Oryzias latipes: one gene and its partner. The protein of the gene in region 1 interacts with the protein of each later gene in a pairwise test. Links are inferred from orthologs where the notes say so. Each region holds a gene or a part of one and is shown in the gene's direction. Other genes may lie near its edges.

The links. The genes of interacting proteins can lie anywhere in the genome.
Region 2: the proteins of cep76 (region 1) and cryba4 interact in binary tests that used the Homo sapiens proteins (3 or more experiments, as listed by UniProt). The two-hybrid records come from large-scale screens. The link is inferred for Oryzias latipes from reciprocal best matches to the Homo sapiens genes CEP76 and CRYBA4.

What each region holds. Positions count from the first base shown.
Region 1 is NC_019874.2:5,534,121-5,542,279, forward strand, and holds the start of cep76 (centrosomal protein of 76 kDa), read left to right. Parts: upstream 1-3,922; 5' UTR 3,923-4,061; coding exon 4,062-4,124; intron 4,125-6,387; coding exon 6,388-6,537; intron 6,538-6,640; coding exon 6,641-6,725; intron 6,726-6,810; coding exon 6,811-7,026; intron 7,027-7,140; coding exon 7,141-7,323; intron 7,324-8,159. UniProt on the Homo sapiens protein: Centrosomal protein involved in regulation of centriole duplication. Required to limit centriole duplication to once per cell cycle by preventing centriole reduplication.
Region 2 is NC_019870.2:2,109,470-2,116,815, forward strand, and holds cryba4 (beta-crystallin A4), read left to right. Parts: upstream 1-3,081; 5' UTR 3,082-3,141; coding exon 3,142-3,148; intron 3,149-3,515; coding exon 3,516-3,559; intron 3,560-3,634; coding exon 3,635-3,753; intron 3,754-3,840; coding exon 3,841-3,982; intron 3,983-4,095; coding exon 4,096-4,238; intron 4,239-4,328; coding exon 4,329-4,476; 3' UTR 4,477-4,675; downstream 4,676-7,346. UniProt on the Homo sapiens protein: Crystallins are the dominant structural components of the vertebrate eye lens.

The sequences.
Region 1 (8,159 bases):
TCAAAATGCAGAAGCACTAGATCAAATGTGTGCGTGCGTGTGTGTGTGTGTGTGTATGTGTGTGCACGTGCAAGATCTCAGCAAAAATGATGACCTCTCAGGATCCTGGTGCCAGCATGTTGGTTTTCCTCCCTTCCCTGTTGACAAATGTACTGTATCATAACAAAATGTCTTTCTGGGAATTTACTAGAGATGCAGTACAAAACAGAACCAAATCTGAAAGGATTGTTTTTGCATTTTTTGTTTGAAATCCTCAAATGTGCATGGATCTTCTGTGGACGTTTGACATTTTCATTTCCAAATGATCTGTGCTGGCCGTCCATCCTATTAAAAATGTCAGGTCAACGCCTGTGCCAAGAGGTCGACTTTGGGATTATTGTTTATTTTTAAAGTTTTGTTGTTTTTTTTTAGACATTTATACATTTACAGGTTTCCTGAGCACCATCTGTTCTTCCATGTACATTTTGCAGGGCAACTCAATACGGCCAGATTGATTCTTTTGTGAGTAGTTACTCCTCTGGAACTGTCCTGCCAAACTTTTCCTGAATGCTATCTTTAACTTTATGAGCAACTTCTGTCTTTATTGTTTTTATATGACTATTGGTTGTTGTGTACAGTATACAAGCTGCCAGGCCCCTTTTCATTTTTTACCCACTGGATGGGTTTGTCTAAGTTCAATACCCCCTCCAATGTTTATTCTGTTGTTGAGAAAAACCAAAGCTGACAGTTTTTTAAAGGTAACAAACTATTCAGTGATAAAGCCTTGTACTCTTATCACGTGGAATGTATTATCTCTTGAATCTCTGATACAACTCGCAACCATGTTACAAAATAGTAGTCATATTATTTTTTAGTTTGTGTGTGTGAGACTCTTTAGTACCATGAACTTGTTTTTCATATAACAGAGACTTGGCTAAAGCCATAATAGTTTAATGTAGAAGTTGGAACAAAGCACCTTGGATTAAATGCAACCTTACAGAAGGAAGTGATTGTGTCTTTGTTTGCAGCATTCCAATGCCTTCACAGCAGTTCTGATGATCACCTGCATTTTCACTGGTCTCAAGTCAAATTCATACGAATTCTGGACCATTCCTCCAAAAGCTCATTGGTGAGGTCACACACTGATGTTGGTGGAGAAGGCCTGGCTCTCAGTCTCCTCCCCAAAGGTTTTCTATGGGGTTCAGGTCAGGACTCTGTGCAGGACAGTCAAGTTCATCCACATCCATGTCTTTATGGACCTGGCTTTGTGCTCTGGTGCACAGTCATGTTTGAAGAGGAAGGGACCCACTTCAAACCCACTTCCATGCTTCCAACTGGGTTGGAAGCATGGAATTGTCCAAAAGGTTTTGGTATCCTGAAGCATTCAGAGTTCATTTCACTGGAACTAAAGGAACAAGTCCTGAAAAACAAGCCCACACCATAATTCCTCCACCAAATTTCACACTCTGCCCAATGCAGTCCGAAATGTACCGTTGTCCTGGCAACCTCCAAACCCAGACTCGTCCATCAGATTTCCAGATGGAAAAGCGGGATTCATGACTCCGGAGAAGGCGTCTCCACTGCTCTAGAGTTCAGTGGCGGCGTGCTTTACACCTCTGCATCCGACGCTTTGCATTGCACTTGGTGATGTGTGGCTTGGATGCAGCTGCCCAGCCATGGAAACCCATTCCATGAAGCTCTCTTAGTGATTTACTTGGGCTGATCTGAAGGTCACATGAAGTTTGGAGCTCTCCAGCAATTGACTGCAGAAAGTCGGCAACCTCTATGCGCTTCAGCATCTACTGACACCTCTCCGTCACTTACGTGGTCTACCACTTTGTGGCTGAGTTGCTGTTGTTCCCAAACTTTTTCATTTTGTTATGATAGAGCTGACAGTTGACTGTGGAGTATTTAGGAGTGAGGAGATTTCACCAATGGATTTATTGCAGAGGTGGCGTCCTATGACAGTTCCACGCTGGAATTCACTGAGCTGCGGAGAGAGGACCATTCTTTCAGAAATGTTTGCATAAACAGTCTGAAAGTCTGAGTGCTTGATTTTATACAGCCCAGTGATTAGGACACCTGATTCTCATCATTTGGTACATTTGGTAATACAGTGTATTTGTTTAGCCTGTACTGAGCCCTGAATTTATTTAGTCACACCATACTCTTCACTGGTTTACATGAAATGTAAGACATGAGCAAATTCCAGTTAACAGCCAGAATTTAAAATGATAAAAAAAATCTTCAAAGGTAGAGAATCTTTTTATTCTTTCTCTCTCTCTCTCATCCAGCCCTGTTTGTATTGTGTAATCCAGAGGCATCACATCTGGGCAGTCGGCATCATAGCTTCAACATTCCTCTTTATACTGTGCTAATATTGGTGGTTTATGCTTTTTATCTTTTGTGTTTTTATATGTGTATATATACATATTTTAACCTGTCAAGCACCTTGTGACTCCTGTCTGTGAAAGGTGCTATACAAATAAAATGTACTTACTAATATATTTGTAATATCGTTTGACCATCAACTACTCCAATGTGGTCAGACTGGAGGCCTGGAACTGGATTCTAAAAACAAATTCAGTTTTTAAAGAGGGTTTTCTGGTAATCAGGACTTTAGTTATTTTATGTCGTCTGCAGTGGGACATTCTGAGTGAAAGAATGAAGCTTGGATTTATGAATTTAGCGACTAGCTGCAGAAAATAGTGTCCCTTCCTCTTCTACGTGTGCTCTTTACCACCTGGGACGACGGATATTTTTCCTTGTATTTGTTTTTATACCTTGGTATTTAGTAAGTGGCTGCACAGTGGACCCTCTTGCCTCACAGCAGGAAGGCCCCCAGTTCAAAGCCCGGCTGGGGGACCTGAAACGGAACACCAACGGGGACCTTTCTGTTAGGAGTTTGCATGTTTTCCCTGTGCATGCGTGGGTTTTCTCCGGGGACTCTGGCTTCTTCCCACCGTCCAAAACATGCTTCATAGGTAAATTGGTTACTCTAAATTGTCCATAGGTGTCAATATGAGTGTGTGTGTGGGTGTGTGATATGTGGCCCTGAAACAGACTGGCGACCTGTCCAGGATGTCCACTGACTTCACCCATGAGTGGCCGGGATAGGCTCCAGCAGCACTGGAAAAGGACTAAATGGGTTTAGAAGATGAATGAATTGATGAAAGAAAGTATTTACTAAGTGGACTGTAAACAGATAAAATCCCTGCTTTGTTTCAGAGCAAGGTAACATGTTTACTAAAACATTAAACTGGAAGTATAAAAATACCTGCCCATGTAACAAATCCATTGCATATTTGCCATAATAATCTAAATGACATCCTTGAAATTGTTTTTTCATCATTTCTTACAACTGCGATCAACTGTACAAGTCTGTGGATTAATTGGGTTTAATTCTAACTTGCAGAGGTGTTGTGGTTTAGTACTTTCCAGCATTAACCTTACATGTTTTAAAGGTCATATTGTCTGGACATTGGACAGCTTCCTTCAACACCTTTCTATTTTTTCACTTTGGAAGCTACGTTCTGCCATGTTTAATATCTTTTTCTAGCAGAAAAAATAATGAAGGGTGGACATTCTCCGTCAAAGGTGTTAAGTTGAGCGCAGAATTCATCGTTCCACAAAGTATGAGAAGCTGTGCAGGTTCTGGAGCAGCATCAGCACCACACGTTGCATTAAGCTGGAGGTGCATTGTTTAAGGCTGGTTTTTAAATGTTTCGCTGACGATGGACCAATGGGATTCCTGAATATAATTCACAACATTTTTGGCTAAAAATCCCGAAAAAACAATATTAATTTCTGCATGATGTGACCTTATAAAACTGAAAATTTTGATGTACAAAACAATGATTACTTAGCTACGCGATAGAATGAGTCATTCCATTTTCTTCCTTTTCGTTCAGGCATTAACCTAGACGCCTTCCTCTGCAACTGTCTGGCTGTTGGGCTTGTCAGGACCCCGTCTCTTGTATGGACATAACAGTTTTAGATTTCCGCTGAATTCAAAAATTATGCTGCAGAGCTTGTTGTTGTAAACTTTTAATCATCTCGTAGGATCAGATTTTGCAGCTATAATGTCTTTACCTCCAGAAAAAACCTCCGAACTGAAGCAGATTATTCAGAGTCACCTGAAGAAGGTAAGAAAATTTAACGCGCTAGTGTTGTATCCTCTGTTTTCAAGAGTTTGCACTTTAGATTTACCGTCCTTTATGATTATTTTTTGTGCATGAATTCTTATAGCTGTTATGTGTTTTAAACCCCGACCACCCTTCTGACCAACAACAAACAACTTCATCAAATATTTAAGATGGCATTACTAGTAACTTTTCGAAGGAGGAATTTTTTTTCTTCAGATTCCCAAAGAAGGGTTGAATTAAAAGAGATAATCATAAAAGCTATGTCATTTCAAACACTACTCTCATCACTACAGCAGCCAGCTAAAAAGGCAATAACAGAGATCAATAATCATAAAAGTCAATGTTGGGATTGTGACCCAAGGCTACAGCTGTTGCGTTCGAGGATCATTAAGAACCAACATGTTTTATGAAGTTGGAAGTATATTTTTTAAGTTGATTAACCTTTTCTTAAACCTGAGTTTTTTTTAAATATATTGTAACGATCCAGCCAGACCGTCACTTAAGCGGGGTAGCGTAAACCAACTGCTCATGAGGGAGAACTGTCCGAGCCCCATATACCGCACGACCCCGGTTGGTCTCAGACAGGAATTAACACAAGCAGAGGCACAGTCACCTTTCGAGCATCAAGCCCTATTATTCCAACACACTCAAACAGTCTAACAGCATGGACTGTCGCTTCAGTGCACAACCCTCTGACTCAAGGTTTCACCCTAAAGCTCCCCACTTCCCATGAGCCTTAGGGGCTGAAGGCGGGGCCAACCCCTCAGCTCAACATACATTAGGGCTGCACGATATGAGGAAAACTTGCGATATGCGATATTAGTGATCAATATTGCGATAACGATAAATTTGCGGTAAATAAACAAATAGAAAAATAAACAAAAACATCATTCCCATTTCATTGCAACAGTTTAAAAATTACACTCCAAATGACCCTCATCGACATGGGGGACAAACATCTAACATAATAGGCCTCCATCTGATTGGTTAACAATGGAAAGGCGTCCATCTGATTAGTCAAAGCATAAAGGTATTTATTTGATTCGTTAAATGCTTCAAGCTGCTAGAAGATTGTTTTAACACATTTTGGGTTTGCGATTTATTGCGATATTCGCCGTCTTTTGTGATATGCATATTGCAGAGCTGGATATTGCGATAACGATAAATTTGCGGTATATTGTGCAGGCCTAACATACATCATTATCTTCATCTTCTATGTGACATTAAAGCCTGTGTGATTGTAAAAACCTGCGGCTCAAAAATCTAGTTACCATAATCTAAAGCTGTTAGAGGACCCACTCCAAAGAAAATGGTGTTTTTAACATGTTCTTGTAGCATTTTTCCGATGATTGTAGACATTTATAAAGACAATTAAGATTAAAATTGCATTTCTGAGTATCTCTTTTAGATAGATAGATAGATAGATAAATGACTTTGTTAATCCCACAATGGAGAAATTTTAATTATCTGTGGCAGCAAAAACGACATTCAGAAATAATCTATATAATACAACATCAAAAAAGGACATCAAAAATGACATTCATATTAAATTATTAAAAATGATTATTAAAATTATTGTGAAAATTATTATGACAATTATTATCAAAAATGAGATTCGTATTAAATATTAAATAAATAAATACAGCTTCAAAAGTGTAAAAAAAAACACGTGATCAACTGTATAAACCTGTATCATGTAAAACATTTTAACAAATTATTTTGAACTGATGAAAATAATACAGTTTGAAAATGGTTGTAGTTGAAGCTACAGGCTCCCTGCTCTGCTCTATTCTGATGCATTCACTGTCAGACAAACAGATCCATGTACGTCTTTGTTTTCCTCGTCTGAGCTGGAATCTGGCTTAGATCTGTACAGCAGGATAGCGCCGATATTGCTCGCCATCTTTGTTGCACCGCTAATGTTAGCTTGGGGGTGTGAGGGGACTGTAAGCTAGCAGGAGAGAATGTAATCATAGGGTTAATGGGAAATGATGGCAGGCTCACTCCACACCAGCAGTCCTGCCCACAACTTGGAGGTGAATTTCTAATGAACTCCTGCCGCTCTGCAGAAACTATGTCCTAACAAGATTAAAATACCACTGGAAACAATTTTACAATAGAGCAAAAGATGATTGGCGTAGATTTTTAAGGCACAGTCCCCATGCTTGGTCTAACTGCTGTCTGTTCAAACTGTCTGTTCCTCTTCCCTGCTGAGGTTAAGTTCGAGGAACTTCTAACACAACCTTTTATTTCTGTTCCTCAGATGAACATCCACGGGAAAATCCAAGAGGTGCTGGCGGAGACTGCAAGGGTGGATCCCGGCTCTGGACGTTTGTCGGAGGAGGATTTCAGACGTGCTCTACAGCGCAGAGGCATAATAGATGATGTGATGAAAGACCTCCGTTTCAGCCAGGTGTTCTCGCCTCTCACTGACAGATCACATGTTAGAAACGAAGAGAGCTGTCTCTATTCAGAAAAGACTGAGGAACTCTATCACTAACTGCCTGCCTTTGTAGGAAAAAGCAACAAAAACAGCATCAGGATTTCCATCTAAGCCTTTCAGTCATTATGGTGACAAAGAAATGACCGAGCTGAGACAGAGTAAGAGAAATTATGATGCGGTGCACAGTGTCGTGTTTGTGTCATACTTGTTTTAATTTTTCTTACTTCTTGCAAATCAACGTAGACCCATCAAGGCAGTACCTGCATCTCCAAGTTCTTGGTGGGAAGGCCTTTCTGGAGCACCTGCAGGAACCACAGCCGTTACCTGGTCAGGTGTCTTCTACGTTTACACTCTACCTACATTTCCGCGACCAGAGGTTTGGATCTAAGCCTGTGCCCTGTACCTGTGAACCAGACATGAGGGAAAACTTCCTCCTGGAACTCTGCAGGGACAATGCAGGTAGGAGGAAAGTAACTGTTTAGAGGTTAGTGAAGATGAGCTTGAACTTAGGTTCCAGGCTTAAAAAATACATCTCCTCCTTGAACCTAATCATGACTTCTTTTCTTGTTAAAGATGGAGGTAAAGTGATGGATGCAGCCTCTATGCTGTCTATATGCGACCCTATCCACTTTGTCCTGATCAAGACGGACATTTCTGGTGAGACGACGCTGGTGTCGTCCTATTTCCTGGATTGGAGGCCAGTTCTCAGCTCAACAAACAGCAAGACTTGTTTTGCTGTGGAGTTAATGGGAGTTGGTAAGCCACCCTGATTGTTATGGTCGGATAAGCAACCCCTACTTTTAAATAATATATTACCTTTGGCACACTAAAGAATGAATTTATTTTTAAATGAGTTAATTTTGTAGGTCATTTTCCTACCTGGAAGTAAAACGTCTCGATCTCTGCGGCTCCGCCTTTCTGTCCTTGTGGGTGCCGCCCATTTCATGACATCATCCTCGGCAGCATGTCTGCCTTTCACCCACAAAAACAAACAACATCTGAACTTTTGCAAAGATGGATGTTCATATTGTGGAGCAGGGCTGCTCATTCCTGGTCCTTTAGCTCTACCACCCTGTCTGTTTTCCAGATCTCCAAGCTCTGCTAGCTGCTGAATGAGGGTGTGTGTGTTAGCGTGGGGGTGGGTTGGCACCGCAGACTCTTCCTGGAAGGGGCTGTTCCTCACTTTGTAATGCTGCAATGTGAGGGTCCACCCATTTTTGTGGATTGGGAGGGGCTGGGGCTCAGAACGCAGGTTTTTAGAGGAATACTCAGAGATGTGTGAACGGATCACAATACTGCTTTGGGGTTGTTTTTTGTGAGGAATGAACATTATTATACATTTAAAAGCTTAAAAAGTTGATTCTGCTGGATACAGACCCTTTAAACCAGGGTTTCTCAAAGTTTTTGTAGCGGAGGGCCAAATGAAGAACTCTGCATTAGACTGGGGGCCAATTTTGGTTTAAAAAAATGGATAAACAGAAAAGGTTGTTTTTAATAACTTGGATGACCAAGTGTCATTGTACAGTTAACCAGGCCCAGGCTGTGCAGAGACTAATGCACGGAGCATCAGTCAAAACACTCTCAGCAAAGCG
Region 2 (7,346 bases), on another chromosome or scaffold:
TGTAAAACCCGGACTGTTTCCGTACCGACTGAGCGTGATGTCATCCGTAGAAACTGGTTTACTTCAAGCTCCAACCAGATGAAGTCAATTGAGTCGCCAGTTTTTGGGGAAAACAGGGACCGCCATGTTGGAGCCATGTGTTGTCGGTAAGCAGTGATTGGTCCGAGTCGGTCTGAGTCAACGTTTCTGTGGCAACCACTCTCACCAATCAGGAGTGAGCTTGCTGGAAGGCCACACCTCTAGCACTTGAAAGCAGGCTACGCAAAGGCATCTGATTGGACAGTTTAAAACTTGAACTACAGACAAATATGTCGATTACCAAGAACATGATACATAAAACGTATCAGAGCCAGAATGGTTCTTCTCACCAATAAGAATACTGAGTTACAGCGGTTTATTTCTCTACAGAAGTCTACGGGATTATGGCTTCTTGGAGCCACTTCCTGTTTAGAACGTCAGGGGGGAGGAGTCACTCAGTCTGGTTCTCTTATACATTGGATCTATTGAAGTTCTTATTCAACAACAGCTGGAGTCAAGCCCGTCTGAGTATATTCTATATTATTTATCTTGTAACCCTTGTGCTATCCTAGGCACTTTGACATTGGGAGTTGGGTCATCTAGACCCACTAGACAGTGCTCTGAACCTTTTTTCTTCAATGATTTGTGATCTTCACTAGTGTCCATGGATTACATGAAATCTTTCCACCTTTATCCACCTTTGTCATGGTAGGGAGAACACGGCAATGTAAGGGGGGGTCATCTAAGATAGCACAAGGGTTGATCAAACTTTATTAGCTTTTGCCCCGCCCCACATGGTTAGTTTGATATTCTCAGAACACGCAAGCATGAGTTTACCTTGGGAGAGGCCTTGTCAGCAGTTCACAGCTCAAAAATCCGCCTTTATTTAAGCATTGTTTTTTTGTAATTGTACTTTATTATCTTTTCAAGAAAAGAACACAACACAAAACAGCACAGCAGATGTCTAACTAGTAAAAGATGCACACAAAATCTACGTCCCAATAACATGTTGGGATGTTTTCTTAAAGCACTAACTAAATACTTTGAAATACAAAATGTGAGCCTCCTTTACAAAGTATTTACAAAGTATATCAGCTATTTCTCAAGGAAGGTGATCCAGATCAGCCCACCACGTCTTGTAGAAAATGTCGGAGTTACCTTTTAATGGGGCACTGAGGCGTTCCATTGGAAAAACCTTAAAAGTCTCTCTGTACCATTGTGTAATGGATGGAGGTTGCACTTGTGTCCATTGTAGTAGTATATATCTCCTAGCCAGGAGTAAAAGTTTTTGGAACAGCCTCATCTGTCCAGGTAACACAGGCAACCTCCCCGACTGGCCAAAAAGGAACAAAATAGGGTTTGGGGCAAAAGATCCATGAAAAATTGAGCGGAGCTCCGATGCTACATATTGCAGAAATCTGGAGATCAACTGACACTGGAGAACACGGTGCTAGTAAGTTCCTACAGTGTGTCTACACTTTATACAGAGAGCTGAGTGCTGTGGTTGAATCCTATGTAAAACCTGTGGAATATATTGAGTCCTGGAGAAAAGTCGATATTGGTTTTCCCTGAGTTTGTAACATGTTTTTGTTTTTTTGCAGTTGTAAAAGCATTTGACCAAGTTTCCACATCAAGTTCAATCCCCAAATCTGCCTTCCAACGATGCTTAGATTTCTCACTTGTGAGAGGGTTCAATGCCATTAATTGAGCATAACAGAGATATAGAGTAATGTCTTCTTGGAGATGGCATTTTCATTGAATTTGAGAAGAAAAATTTCTACTGAATGTAAGATTGGTTGGTCACCCTTGAAAAGAGGGGTCAGTCTGAACAAAGTGTCTCACCCGGAGGAAATCTAACAAATCTTGGTGGGATGTTCTGAATCTGCCTTGAATTAGCCCAAAAGACAGAAAATATCCTTTTTCGAAAAGGTTTTACATGTTTTAATCCCTTATCATGCCATTTGTTAAATGTCCCAAAGTCTAAGCCCGGGGAGAAGGCTACGCTTTTAACCCTTGTGCTATCCTAGGCACTTTAACATTGGGAGTTGGGTCATCTAGACCCACAAGACAGTGCACTGAACCTTTTTCTTCAATAAATTGTGTTCCTCACTGGTGTCCATGGATTACATGTAATCTTTCCACCTTTATCCACCTTTGTCATGGTAGGGAGAACACGTCAATGGTGATCTTGACCCCATAGGATAGCACAAGGGTTAATAAGTGAGTGATCAGTGACCTGGGGAGGTCGAACCACCGTCAAGACTTCAAAACCATCTTAAAGTTTAACTTATACATCTCTGAGGTGTTTGCAGATATCCTTGAACCTGAGCATGAAAAGCCTTCATATGACGACCTAAAAGGAAAATTAGCAGGAGGGTCCCTTCCCTCCCTGTGGCTCCCCAGTGGAAAGGTTACCCGGAAATTTGGCTGAATTGCTTAATAATATGAAGTAGAATTGGAATAGATGTCTCTGCTTTTGATATAAATAACACATCATTTGCATAAAGGGAAATTTTCTTATTCAGTGTTATTCTTTGATACGGGCGTATATGGGAAGTGGCGAGATAACCGCCGAAAAACCCAACAGGCAAAAGTGGGCGGAGCAAACGGAAAACCATGGCATAGAACATGTCATGTCTGTTAGTAAAAGTGTTTTCCATCTTTTTCTGAGCAGCCTCAGTTATGGCATCTGTAATTAGGGGGTGGAGTCTAGCTTTGACCCGCCCCTTTTTGGAGTGAGGGTTTTTCTAATAGAGGAAAACTGAATCTAAAAATGTCAGATTCTGAGATGTGATGCTTTTGTTTCCGTGTTCTGATGTTTTCAGGACGGCGGTGTTTTCCCGAGTGGTTGGGAGCTGGCGCCTCCCCCTCTCTCTCTTATATTCCCCTGTGCCCCCCACCCCGGTGATAATGTGGTGTCTGCACTTCTGCCCCTCCACAGATTAACACTGCTTTTGTCGGTGGGTGGGTGGGGAGGGTGGGGGGGGGCAAAGATAGAAAAAAAAGGCCCCTCCCTGCTGCTGAGCCGGGGCTTTCAGCGTGGCCCCCTGCCAGGGGAGGCTTTAAAAGGGTGGGGGCGCGTGGCTCCTCTCACTCTCACGGCAGGACAACCTGAGGGCATCAATGCGAGGTGAGTCCCCGTCCCTCGGCCGGACAGCAACCGGGGTAGAGCCGCCCCCCCCCTCAGCACTTACATACCTTTAGTCGAATGCACCCTCCCCACTTACATCCCCCCCAAACAAACACCAGGACAGGAGATGGTGGAAAACTGAGATCAAGTGGACGGAAGAAGCCAAAGGAATTCTGATGGAGAGGAGTCATCTCCATGGAAACACTAAAAACGTTTTTTCGGGAATCACATCCAGGATGGTCCATTAGCCGGGGGGGCTTGCCCGCACTGACACTTGTGGTCCAGCATGAGCTGAGCTGCTGGGCTGTTTGGGTTTTTCAGTCTTTATCTTGAGTAACGTCTAAGAGCTGCTCTCCTCTCTTCACAGACAACATGACTCACCACTGCACCAAGTTCTCTGGCCACTGGAAGGTGAGTGTCCCGGGCCGCCGCCAGACCCGAACCCGGGCGGCCTTCAGCACCTGACTCTCCCCTCTGCCTCCACAGATCATCGTCTACGATGAGGAGTGCTTCCAGGGCCGCCACCACGAGTTCACCTCCGAGTGCTGCAACGTGATGGAGTTCGGCTTTGAGACGGTGCGCTCCCTGAGGGTGGAGAGCGGCGCGTGAGTCCATCCGCACACGGTAGTGCTCGGGTCGGGTCTGGCCGCGGCCCCTTTTCCCTAACTCCTCTGTCCCTGCTTTTGTCCCAGCTGGGTGGGCTATGAGCACGCCTCCTACCAGGGGCAGCAGTTTATCCTGGAGAGGGGGGAGTACCCCCAGTGTAATGCCTTTGGGGGCAGCAACGCCTACCACATCGAGAGGATGACCTCCTTCAGACCCATCGCCTGTGCCGTGAGTCCCTCCCCCTCAGGAAGTGACACGACTTTACTCGTTCAGAACCCGTCAGACCGGATCTTTTGCTCTGTGCCCCCCCCCCCCCCCCCCCCCCCCCCCCCCCCCCGTAGAACCACAGAGAGTGTCGGATGACTATCTACGAGCGTGAGAACTTCCTGGGCCGTAAGGGCGAGCTCAGCGACGATTACCCCTCCCTCCAGGCCATGGGATGGTGCAACAACGAAGTCGGCTCACTCAGGATCCAGTCTGGAGCGTGAGTGCCCCCCCCCCCCCCCCACCTCCACCCAGCTCCTCTCCATCCACCCCCTGCCTCCTCCTCTGACTTTCCCTCCTCTCTTTTCAGATTTGTGTGCTACCAGTACCCCGGTTACCGTGGATACCAGTATATCATGGAGTGCGACCGTCACTGTGGGGAGTACAAACACTTCAGGGAGTTCGGGTCCCACTGCCAGACCCCTCAGATCCAGTCCATCCGCCGCATTCAGCAGTAACGGCTGACCCAGAACCCGTTCTCCCCTGTGACCCTTCACCCCCGCCCGCCGCTGCCACCCAGTGCTGAATAAACTGTTTTTCTTAAACATGACTGACCTCCACCAACATTTCTGCTTCTGTGAGGCTCCTGGATCGCTCCTGTCCGCGGGTTTCCCGCCAATAAAAATTGGGCTGAAAATAAAGAGTGAGACAAGTGGATGAGACATTCTTTTTCATGGGGGGGGTGGGGTGGGGGTGGCTCTTTCCCGTCAAATCTACGAGAAAATATCAAATACAGAAGGCAATTAGTTTATATTTGTAAAAAAAAGAAGAAGATTAAATGAATGTGTGATAAGGAAGGCGGAGTTTCGTGGAAGGCGTAAAAGTAACTGAAAAAATGTTCAGGAAAAAATAGAGTTCATACAAAATATCGTTCTAAAAGTAAAAATATGGACATTTTGAATGTTGTACTGTCAAAAGTTAACACAAATTTTCAATCAGGTTTTTTTGTTTATTTTCCAAAGGTAAAATTGAGGAAGTTCCATTTTTTTTCTGCTTATTTTTGATTCTGATACCGAAGATCTGCGCTTAAAAGTTTCTAATTTCGCCAAAACAGCAGATTATGGGTTTTTTGACACAAAACGTCAACATTTACATTTTTACAGGAACTTTAGCTACTGATATGGATAAAACTCTAAGGCAGAAAATATTATAGAAACAAAATATATATATATACATTTATTTGCTTAAATTATGTTTATTTAGAGATTATAACAGAATATTTAAAATACAATATAATTCTGCTCTTAATTCCAACATGAAAGCAAGAATTTTATGATCATTTGAAAACACTAAACTCTAAATAAAAATGCATTTTAGTGACCTTTGTCTGTTGAACGCCGCTGTAGCTCACGTGCATGTTGCATAGTTTTATGAGCTCACTGAATGTTCAGGTGCTTTTTGCTCCCAGTCTCCTGCCGAGAGCTTTCTCGCCATAGCTTACAGCCCCTCATGCGTCCCTAACCCGTCCAGACCATACCCTGCCTTTGCCCAACAGTATCTGGGAGGTTAAGAAAGACGGATGAATGAATGGTTTTCAGGAATCTATGACTATACTATACAAAAAAATCTTATACAATGAAATTGGTGGATAAGAATGTTGGAAATGTTGTTTTTTGCCATTAAAAGCAGGTTTGCCTTGAGAGTGCAGTTTTTGAAGGAAGAGAGGAATATTATACTTTTAAGACATATTTTTTTATGTGGGAATCACGTAGAGCGTGAACAAATATAGAGAAAAATACTTAATTAGTTATACTGTAAAAATGTAGGTAATTGTTAAATGTTAATTCAAAATTTGGATACATTTGTTTACATATATGTATATGGAATTTTTTATACATATATTTTTTATAATTGGCGATGTTTTTTATTTTTGTTTCCTTCTTTTAAACGCTGCAGGCGTTCACTCAGGTGAAACTTGTTAAATATTTATCCCTAAACCAGTTTTTCTGCGTCTGCAGGCCTGCCTCTGCGGTGTTGGTGCAGTACTGCGGCCGGCCAGGCGGCGGCGCTGCGCGTCCGCCAGACTCCGCGTGCCTTTGGGTCAATCTGACAGAAACTGTTCTAACATAAATGTAGGAAGGCGCTGCTTCGTGACTGTGCAGTTTCAGGGAGGAAAACGCGAATTTCTGGTTGTGTTCTCTGCCGTTATTCGGCCAATCGTCGCGTCGTCTCGTCGAAGGTCGGAGTGAAAACCCCGAAAACGGCGGGAGTTTCTCCGTAGAGCCGCAACGCCAAGCAGGTTTTTTCGGTAGAAAACAGCCCAATGCCGCTCCGGCCCAAAGGAAGAGCCGCTCCGCGTTTTACCCGCCTCTCCCCGCCGCAGTGGGAGGAAGTCGAACCACAAAGCCAGCGGTGCCGCCGTTCTGAAGAAAAAACCCCAGAAAACACGCACGTGAAGACGGGCTCGCGCTGACCGTGAGCCGTGTTACTGCGGGAAAACGAACAGTTCGGCTGCAGGAAGCGGACATCGCCGCTCGGCAACACTCGGAGAGGCAGCCGCTCTGACTGAACCAGGACTCCCCGAACCCCGACAAGCAGGACCCATCGGGGTTCGATACCGGTTTTTATTTAATTCATATTTCTGAGGAGGGTTTGGAGGCACGGTACGGCTAACCCCCCACCAAAGACGAGCGGGAATCCGTGTCTGTTCAGTTTCTTCAGGAAAAGTTGCAGAGGCGAACCACCGCTCTTCATCTCCCTCCGCCGTCCGCGTCACAGCCGTCCCTCAGTCCGGAGCCCTGCTCTGGCTCTCCTCATGGGAAGCGCGCCCCCCTTCCTCCGTATCGAGCCCGGGACACCCCAGCGAGAAGCCATGGATTATGTTGCCGGACGCTGCTGATGGTTTTCGGGCCTGCTGGACCGTCGAGGGCTGCTTCGCCAGAAACGCAGCGGCACTTCCCCATAAACGAGGCGGCAGCGGAGCCGCAGCCGTTAGCCTCGGCGTCCGTCAGCGCGCAGCTCAAGCCCGTCTGTCAGTGAGTGAGTGGATACGGTTGGGACCGGCGGCGGGGCGGGGGGGGGGGCATTTTAGCACTCCCGCGATTTGAAGCGGCAATAGAGGGCGCCCCCCCACATCAAAGTTTTAGGTGCAAACTGCTTCACTGTTGGTTAGCTAGTTCTGGCTAGTGCTGTTCATTTAGCTAGCTAGCGTTGTGTGGCTAACTAGCAGGCGAACCCAAATATCGACCGAGCCAGCGGGACCCGAGCCAGCCCGCGAGCGGAGGAAGCGGGATCGGGTTCTGATTAGTTAATCCCGCCGATCTGCCCCGACTGGATTTTGGTGCCGAGACCTCCCAAGGTGTTAATCTGCATCTTTTCCGGTCTTGAT